Linked DNA regions of Arabidopsis thaliana. The protein of the gene in region 1 interacts with the protein of each later gene in a pairwise test. Each region holds a gene or a part of one and is shown in the gene's direction. Other genes may lie near its edges.

Region 1 (4,746 bases):
CGTGATGGCCCGAGACGCCGTGTAAATTCATATCGCCAAAGTTTATGATAACTTTTTTTTTTTTTTTTTTCTGAGCGACGGTTAAGGCGTTAACCGCTAAATTGCGTTCCGATGAAAAATTGACGAAAATGTCCTCACTAATTACTTGGGCTTGAAAACAGATATTTGGGCTTTAAAAAGCCTAAGTAAAAAGTGCCCAAAAGACTCGTGGAAACAATAATAACACGCGCATCGCTAGAGCTTACGTTTGACGCGTATCGTCGACCACAACATCGATATCGATCGAGCCGACAAAAGAAAAAAAATTATGTGAACATTCCTCTTCTTTCTTTTTTGGTTTAAATGTTAACATTCCTCTTCTTTCTTTTTTTGTTTAAATTTGAAGAATCCTCTTTCTCTCTCACAATCACACGAATCTTGTCTTCTTTTCTCTCCGTCTCTTTCGATACTTGGCTTCAATCCTGTGACGTCCTGTTCTATTGTGCCTTAATCGGGTAATCTAAAACAGAACATACACTATCAGTTTTTTTTCGTGCCCTGCTTCTCGAAGTTTCCGATTGTGTGGTTGGTTGATACATATCTCATTGATTATCTTTGTTACTGTTACTTTCATCTCTTATCTCATTCAATTATAATCTAGGGTTCTTACTTCTTCTTTCTTCCCTCTCCGCTAACTATTTGGCCTGGACACCTTTTTTATTTTTTTTATTTGAATCATTATAGTAATCGTAGCTTTGTAGATTTCTTGCTGTATAAATCTCTAGAAAATCGCTCAACGGTTCACGGAATGTGATTCAAGAATCTTGTTTATGTTTGTTCTTTGATTTAGGTATCTAGGTTCGTGTGAGAAAACAGAACAATATAATGTATCCTTGTGGTTACGTTGCTCAAGTCACCAACTTGTCTCCTCAAGCCACTGAGAAAGATGTTCATAGGTTCTTCTCTCACTGTGGTATCGTCGAGCTCGTTGAAATCACCGGGTAACAACAACGTTCATTGTTCAGTAAATTATTAATCATTCTTGAATCTGTTTATATTTTGTTTCATGTCTCCATGGATTTCAGGTGCCAAGGGGATGCATTAACGGCTTATGTAACCTTCAGAGATGCGTATGCTCTGGATATGGCTGTGTTACTTAGCGTAAGTCCCTTAATTAGCTAGAAATTTCCAGTATGATCTTCTTGGCATTGATTTTAATGTTGATCTTCAGGGAGCTACGATCGTTGATCAAACCGTTTGGATATCGGTCTACGGTGTCTATTTACATGAATCTAACAATCTCAGACAAGAAGAAGACTATAGTGTTACGGTAACATTAAAAACAATACTTACTAGGTTACTTTAGGTTATAAGCCAAAGATTCTCGAAAATGTTTCTTTGTAGGTGACTCGTTCAGACGCGTTTGCTTCATCGCCTGGAGAGGCCATAACCGTGGCTCAACAAGTTGTGCAGACGATGTTAGCTAAAGGCTACGTTTTAAGCAAAGACGCGATTGGTAAAGCCAAAGCTTTGGATGAGTCTCAGAGATTTTCAAGCTTGGTAGCGACCAAATTGGCAGAGATCAGCCATTACCTTGGCCTCACACAGAACATTCAGTCGAGTATGGAACTCGTGAGATCAGCGGACGAGAAGTATCATTTCTCGGATTTCACTAAATCCGCGGTTCTTGTCACGGGCACAGCTGCTGTAGCCGCAGCCACCATTACAGGGAAAGTGGCTGCAGCTGCAGCGACTAGTGTGGTCAACAGTCGTTACTTTGCTAATGGGGCTTTATGGTTCTCAGATGCTTTGGGCCGGGCTGCAAAAGCAGCGGCCCATATCGGTGGAGGAGGAAGCAATTGATGTAAAAAGTCTTTGGGCTTCCTTGGAAAACATAAATAAATGATATGTGAGGTTTTAAAGCATAAAAGGTGTTGTGAAAAGAAAAAGAAAAAAAAAACCATCATGAAGATATGATTAGTAACGTTACATGATCGAAAATATTTGAGGCAGAAACTATAAAATAACTTTATTACATGAACTGGAGAATATATATGAAATATAATAATAAGCCTAAAGCTTTTAAAATATTAAGGATGGGTCCTAGAAACCTCCCTAGCTTGATCCTTTCCTCATTCTTTCTCTCTCTTTCTCTTATATGAGAGGTTGATGAGATCCACAAGAAACACCTAACTCATTTGATAGTGATTTCCAAATCTGCAAACAACAAAGTATATTTGATCATCACTATACTGATTTCACAATCCATTAATCACTGATAGGTTTTTGGTGGAATACATACATGTATGTGTTTGATCCAACAACAGAAGCTGGATTGAGATTAGAGATGGCGTTTCCTCAACATGGTTTTATGTTCCAACAACTTCATGAAGACAACAGTCAAGATCAGCTCCCTTCTTGTCCTCCTCATCTCTTCAATGGTACTATACTCTCTCTTTCTCTCACTATTTCTCCACATAAATAGATTTGAGTCATGAATTCTGTTGGTGTATATAGGAGGAGGAAACTACATGATGAACAGATCTATGTCTTTAATGAACGTGCAAGAAGATCATAATCAAACCTTGGATGAGGAGAATCTATCAGACGATGGGGCACATACTATGCTGGGAGAGAAGAAGAAGAGGCTGCAATTAGAGCAAGTTAAGGCATTAGAGAAGAGCTTTGAGCTTGGTAACAAGCTGGAGCCAGAGAGGAAGATACAACTAGCTAAAGCATTAGGGATGCAACCAAGACAGATCGCGATTTGGTTTCAAAACAGGAGAGCTAGGTGGAAGACTAGACAGCTCGAGAGAGATTATGATTCACTCAAGAAACAGTTTGAGTCTCTTAAATCCGACAATGCTTCTCTACTTGCCTATAACAAGAAACTCCTTGCTGAGGTATGTATCTATATAAGTAAGTATATATGTGTGTTTATATAGTAAATAAGGTGTTTAATTCAACTTTCATTTCTAATTTGATTGTGTTTGTTTTTTTCTTTGGTTTTTTTATTTTTGGTTTTGCACTAATAGTAATAACCAACGTAAAATAAATCTAGGACTACAAATATTTTTCTGATTATTGGCTTGGATTGGTACTATTTATGTAGTATATATATATGTGTATATATATCAGTGTATATATATATATATATGTATGTATCTTGTGTGTATTAAAGTCGTTTAATACGAAATGCAATAGATTATTGTTAGGCACATGATCCAACACTATAAGATGTTTGTCAAAAGACAGTAGGTGTTTTGTTTATTAATAAAAAGGATTCTTGATCAATATTTACAATTTAATTAATACATTCCCATATGACTATCAAGTAATGGCATGTGTGCGCTAACCAAATTTGACAAGAATACTGATTTTTATATCATATCATTTTTGTGTGTTTTAAATGATTTTACTACTTATTGAAATGTAATAGTTACAAGATTTTCAAAAATTACTTAAGCTAAGTATATGTAAATATATAATTTACATATATAGTCTTACAGTTTATCTATTTTAAGTTATTAGTCATTTTAAAAATATTTTGTTAATTTAAATTATATATAATTATGTTTATTTTAATGATATATAGAAATGATAATTTTTAATATCTGAATTTCTAAAACTTAACATTTGAATTGTGTGTGATGATGGTTAAAGGTAATGGCTTTAAAGAACAAAGAATGTAATGAAGGAAACATAGTAAAGAGAGAAGCAGAAGCTTCATGGAGCAACAACGGAAGCACAGAGAATAGTTCAGACATCAATCTGGAGATGCCTAGAGAGACCATTACAACACATGTGAACACGATCAAAGACCTATTCCCTTCATCGATTCGATCATCTGCACATGATGATGATCATCATCAGAATCATGAAATAGTTCAAGAAGAAAGCCTTTGTAACATGTTTAATGGCATTGATGAAACGACGCCGGCTGGTTACTGGGCATGGTCTGACCCAAACCACAACCACCACCACCACCAGTTCAACTGATTCATGATTCTAAAGCTCAAAAAAAAGTCATCAGCACGCATCAAGACAAATGATCATAATCATCATCATCATATCATCAGGAGAAGATCAAGACACAATTCTTCTCTTTGGAATTATGTTATTGCTACTCATTTCAATTTAAATTAATGGAGCATTTTGTTTTCTTTGGGTTTGTAGAGCATTGGTGTATAGTGCGAAAATTTGTTGTTGCTTTAATTTAATAAAAATCATAAAGTTCTTTGCATTCGGCCGTAACATTGTTAGATGTATGTGGATTGATCACAGTTTACAATATATGTAAATGGTTCAAAAAAGCATAACCACTCTCTTTTACTTCCCGAACAAAACTCTCCTCTAACCAATTGAGTGAGATTAAAAATCATGATTTTTCTCAACTTATATGTCCAATTTTATATATATATGATGGGTTGGTACAAATTTATTAAGAAAGTAAGGATATAAAAGTGAGAAAGATTCATATGCATGTGACTTCGAGTGGGATTCCAGCTCTGTCTTTGACATAACATGATCCATGACTAATATTATATGCAAAGATTATTTTAATATATATTTTATATTTTATGATTTTATCTTTGCAAGTTGCAATTTAAATCTTAATGGATTAATGGAACCATTAACTTTTTATTATAAAAAAAAAAAAAAACTATGCCATGCGTCACGTAGTTGCATGTAATACCAAATACAGTATTCACGTTCACTTCATCTACATAGACATATCTATTCTTTGTTGGTTCAAAATTGTTTTGA
Region 2 (3,498 bases), on another chromosome or scaffold:
GTAAACATAATTAGCTAGAATGATTTACCAAATAAACAATAGTTCAAAATACACAAAATTATTTATTTTTCTTCGCATTGTTAACTGATATCAAATGTTAGATGCACTTGAAAAAATGTTGTTATGGATGGAACAAACAAATAATATGATACAAACCACTAAAACATTCAACAGCAATATAGAGATAAGATTATCGATATGGTTAATGTATCCATATCAAACGCTTTTCATGTTGAAAGATAAAGATAATTGTTAATGTATCCATATGAATCCATCCACAACATAACTGTATTAATTCGTTTGTCTGATTGGATAATTCACTATGACTGGATGACATTTATATTAAGATTTACAAATAAACATCAATCCAAAGTACATTATCCATGTTTCTTTGACCATTTATCCACATGTATATAGACATGTTGATACAATTTTATCGAGCTATAAACATATTCGCAGCAAATCAAAGACATATTTGTCCATTAATGATTGTCCAAGCAGTCCAGTCCATGATCATCTAAAGACTCACATGATAGTTTCATACTAATACATAAGTTTATACATGAACAATAAACGTCAATCCAAAGTATATTATCCATGTTTCTTTGACCATTTATCCACATGTGTATAGACAGTCAGTTACGTAGACCTCAGTCAGTTAAGGAACTTCTCCAAATCTGCCAACATCTCTACATATTTTAATGTAGACGTAATAGGTTGGTTTGAGGATACGAGGACACCGTCAACAATGAGGAGATAAGCAAGCCGAAGTCTGTGGTAAGAAGATAAGGTCTTGTGATTAACATTTTTGAAATATCACCTAACGTAGCATTCATGTCTTCACCTATTAGCTCTTCACAATGTTGGATATTATAAATAAAATTAGCACACGGTTGAATAATTAGAGCAAATAAAATGATTGGAGAAGATTAATACCTTGCATTTGAGGACCGAGTAGAAGTTACTAGCACACGCCGGAGACGACGAATCGATTGAGAGACAAGAAAATGAAGACCATGACGGGAGAACAAGTGTTGACGACGACGACGGGAGAGGACGAATTAATGTCGGCCGATTGAAAGCTTTGTTGACGATAACGACGGGAGAGGGACGAGGAAATGACTTTGCCGGTAGAAAACTCGTTGGGATGATCGCCGGAGTCGAGATGATGTTATCGTCGTTGTGATGATTTTAACTGCCCAGATAAATGAAACTGTAAAATCGTCGTGAAGGATTGGGTGAGAAAAAGAGGTTTCTCACAAATTGGTTTTAGTTTAGAGATTGAGATTAAAAAATTAAACCGAAAACCGGCTAAATTTGTTAGGTTTTGTTAAACTAACGATTTCAGGGTAAAGGGGTAATTCTACTGAGTTAAAGTGACTAATGCTTTTAAAGTGCCTATTTGTGGCCAAAGTTTCAAAATAGTGCCTTTACGTGTAATATTCTCGGATAAATAACCACCATATATATTTACCAGGCTAGAGTTTAGGAAATTACTATAATACAATAAATCAAAGCATTATGGAGACATGATAATTTATAGTTGTCTACATACTAAATAAACATACTACGGAAAATAATAAATTGAAAACACTATTTGATGACAATATGTTACATGATTGCTATTTTCTTACACTTTTCTTTATTATCTGGCAAATAACAAAGAAAAAAAAAAAAAAAAAAAAAAAGGAGCGAGTCGCATGGAGTTCCAAATTTGGTTGGCAAGGTATCCATAAATAGAAAAGTTGCCTAGTTTCATGCACTAAGCTTAACCATAAAATCAGATTGATCACATGTGGTTAACATCAATCACAAAAAAAAACAAAGAGATAGAGATATGACTGAGGAGAGCCCAGAAGAAGATCATGGGTCTCCTGGAGTAGCTGAAACAAATCCAGGAAGCCCTTCTTCAAAGACCAACAACAACAACAACAACAACAAAGAACAAGACCGGTTTCTTCCCATTGCGAATGTCGGAAGGATCATGAAAAAAGTTCTTCCCGGTAACGGTAAGATCTCAAAAGACGCTAAAGAAACCGTTCAAGAATGTGTCTCGGAGTTCATTAGTTTCGTCACTGGTGAAGCTTCTGACAAGTGTCAAAGAGAAAAGAGGAAGACCATCAATGGAGATGATATCATTTGGGCTATCACAACTCTCGGTTTCGAAGACTACGTGGCTCCATTAAAGGTCTACCTCTGCAAATATAGAGACACCGAAGGAGAGAAAGTTAACAGCCCAAAACAACAACAACAAAGACAACAACAACAGCAGATTCAACAACAGAATCATCATAATTATCAGTTTCAAGAACAAGACCAAAACAATAACAACATGTCATGTACTAGTTACATCTCTCATCATCATCCTTCTCCATTCCTACCAGTGGATCATCAACCTTTTCCCAATATTGCTTTCTCTCCTAAATCATTGCAGAAACAGTTCCCGCAGCAGCATGATAATAACATTGATTCAATTCACTGGTGAGAGAGACATTTGCTTTTTTTCTTCTTTCTTTTCACATATTATATGCTTTTCTTTACCTTTTGTGAGTACATCTTGATGCTTATATATATTTGTTGCTATATAGACACTAGACACGTACATTTTGATATTTTCAGTATACCCATGGTTTTGTGTAACAGAAATTCGTCTTCATATATTTTCCGGATTAGTTCGTCTCGAGCAAATATAGCAATCTCTCATGATTTACAACAGTAGAAACTAATTCCATGCTGCTAATTGGATTAGAATACTTACCACCTACGGTTTGAGAGTTAGTGGTCTAGCTTATAAGGTTTCCAGTAGAGAATAGCTTAATTGGAAGAGAATGGTGTATTGTTTCTCATTCATTTACTCATGTTATGATTGATAAAGATGATTGCTTGAATTAAAGAACTTCAAATTGTTCCTCACTCACTACTCTTAGTATCTTGACCTGAAACTATAAGTTATAAAAGTAAATGCATTTCTAATACGATGTATGTAAAATGTTGCTGCTATGAATCTGATTGAATATAACTTCTTTTTTACATATAAATAAGAGAAAGTGGAAGCTATGAATCTGATTGGATAACAAACAACCCAATTATATATTTTTTTTTTTTTTACATAAGAACAAGAGAAAGCAGTAGCTATGAATTTGATTGGGTATAAAGCAACCCCAATTATAAATTTTTACATATAAATAAGAGAAAGTAGACTTATTCATTTTGGGAACCAAACTTAGTCATCCTTGTAGACCAAAGTCGGGTACTCTGGATTCCACATGTTGTTTTCCACATACTCCATCAGCCCCTCCTGCGGAATACACAAGACCGCGTCAACATAACTAACATTTAGGCTTAGTTTCTGGTTTAGTCTTTATTTTCTCTAAGTGAGAAATCAGGTAAACACTCTTCTGTTCTTTACATATAATCAAACCCGATCGACATTCTTCGTAGAATACGATTTTATGATCAGGAGTCCAAAACACGTGAAAGATGGGATGTTGTTTTGAC

What was found. Proteins that work in one complex are often made in the same cells at the same time.
Region 2: the proteins of HB20 (region 1) and NF-YB7 interact in binary tests that used the Arabidopsis thaliana proteins (3 or more experiments, as listed by UniProt).

The regions. Positions count from the first base shown.
Region 1 is NC_003074.8:71,318-76,063, forward strand, and holds HB20 (homeobox protein 20), read left to right. Parts: upstream 1-1,989; 5' UTR 1,990-2,281; coding exon 2,282-2,420; intron 2,421-2,496; coding exon 2,497-2,882; intron 2,883-3,642; coding exon 3,643-3,978; 3' UTR 3,979-4,222; downstream 4,223-4,746. Other genes in the region: RP2 (PPDK regulatory protein 2), read right to left, coding at 1-31; AT3G01210 (RNA-binding (RRM/RBD/RNP motifs) family protein), read left to right, coding at 865-980, 1,065-1,140, 1,211-1,309, 1,384-1,842. UniProt on the Arabidopsis thaliana protein: Probable transcription factor.
Region 2 is NC_003071.7:5,654,829-5,658,326, reverse strand, and holds NF-YB7 (nuclear factor Y, subunit B7), read left to right. Parts: upstream 1-1,808; 5' UTR 1,809-1,837; coding exon 1,838-2,485; 3' UTR 2,486-2,936; downstream 2,937-3,498. Other genes in the region: NAD-ME1 (NAD-dependent malic enzyme 1), read right to left, coding at 3,224-3,298.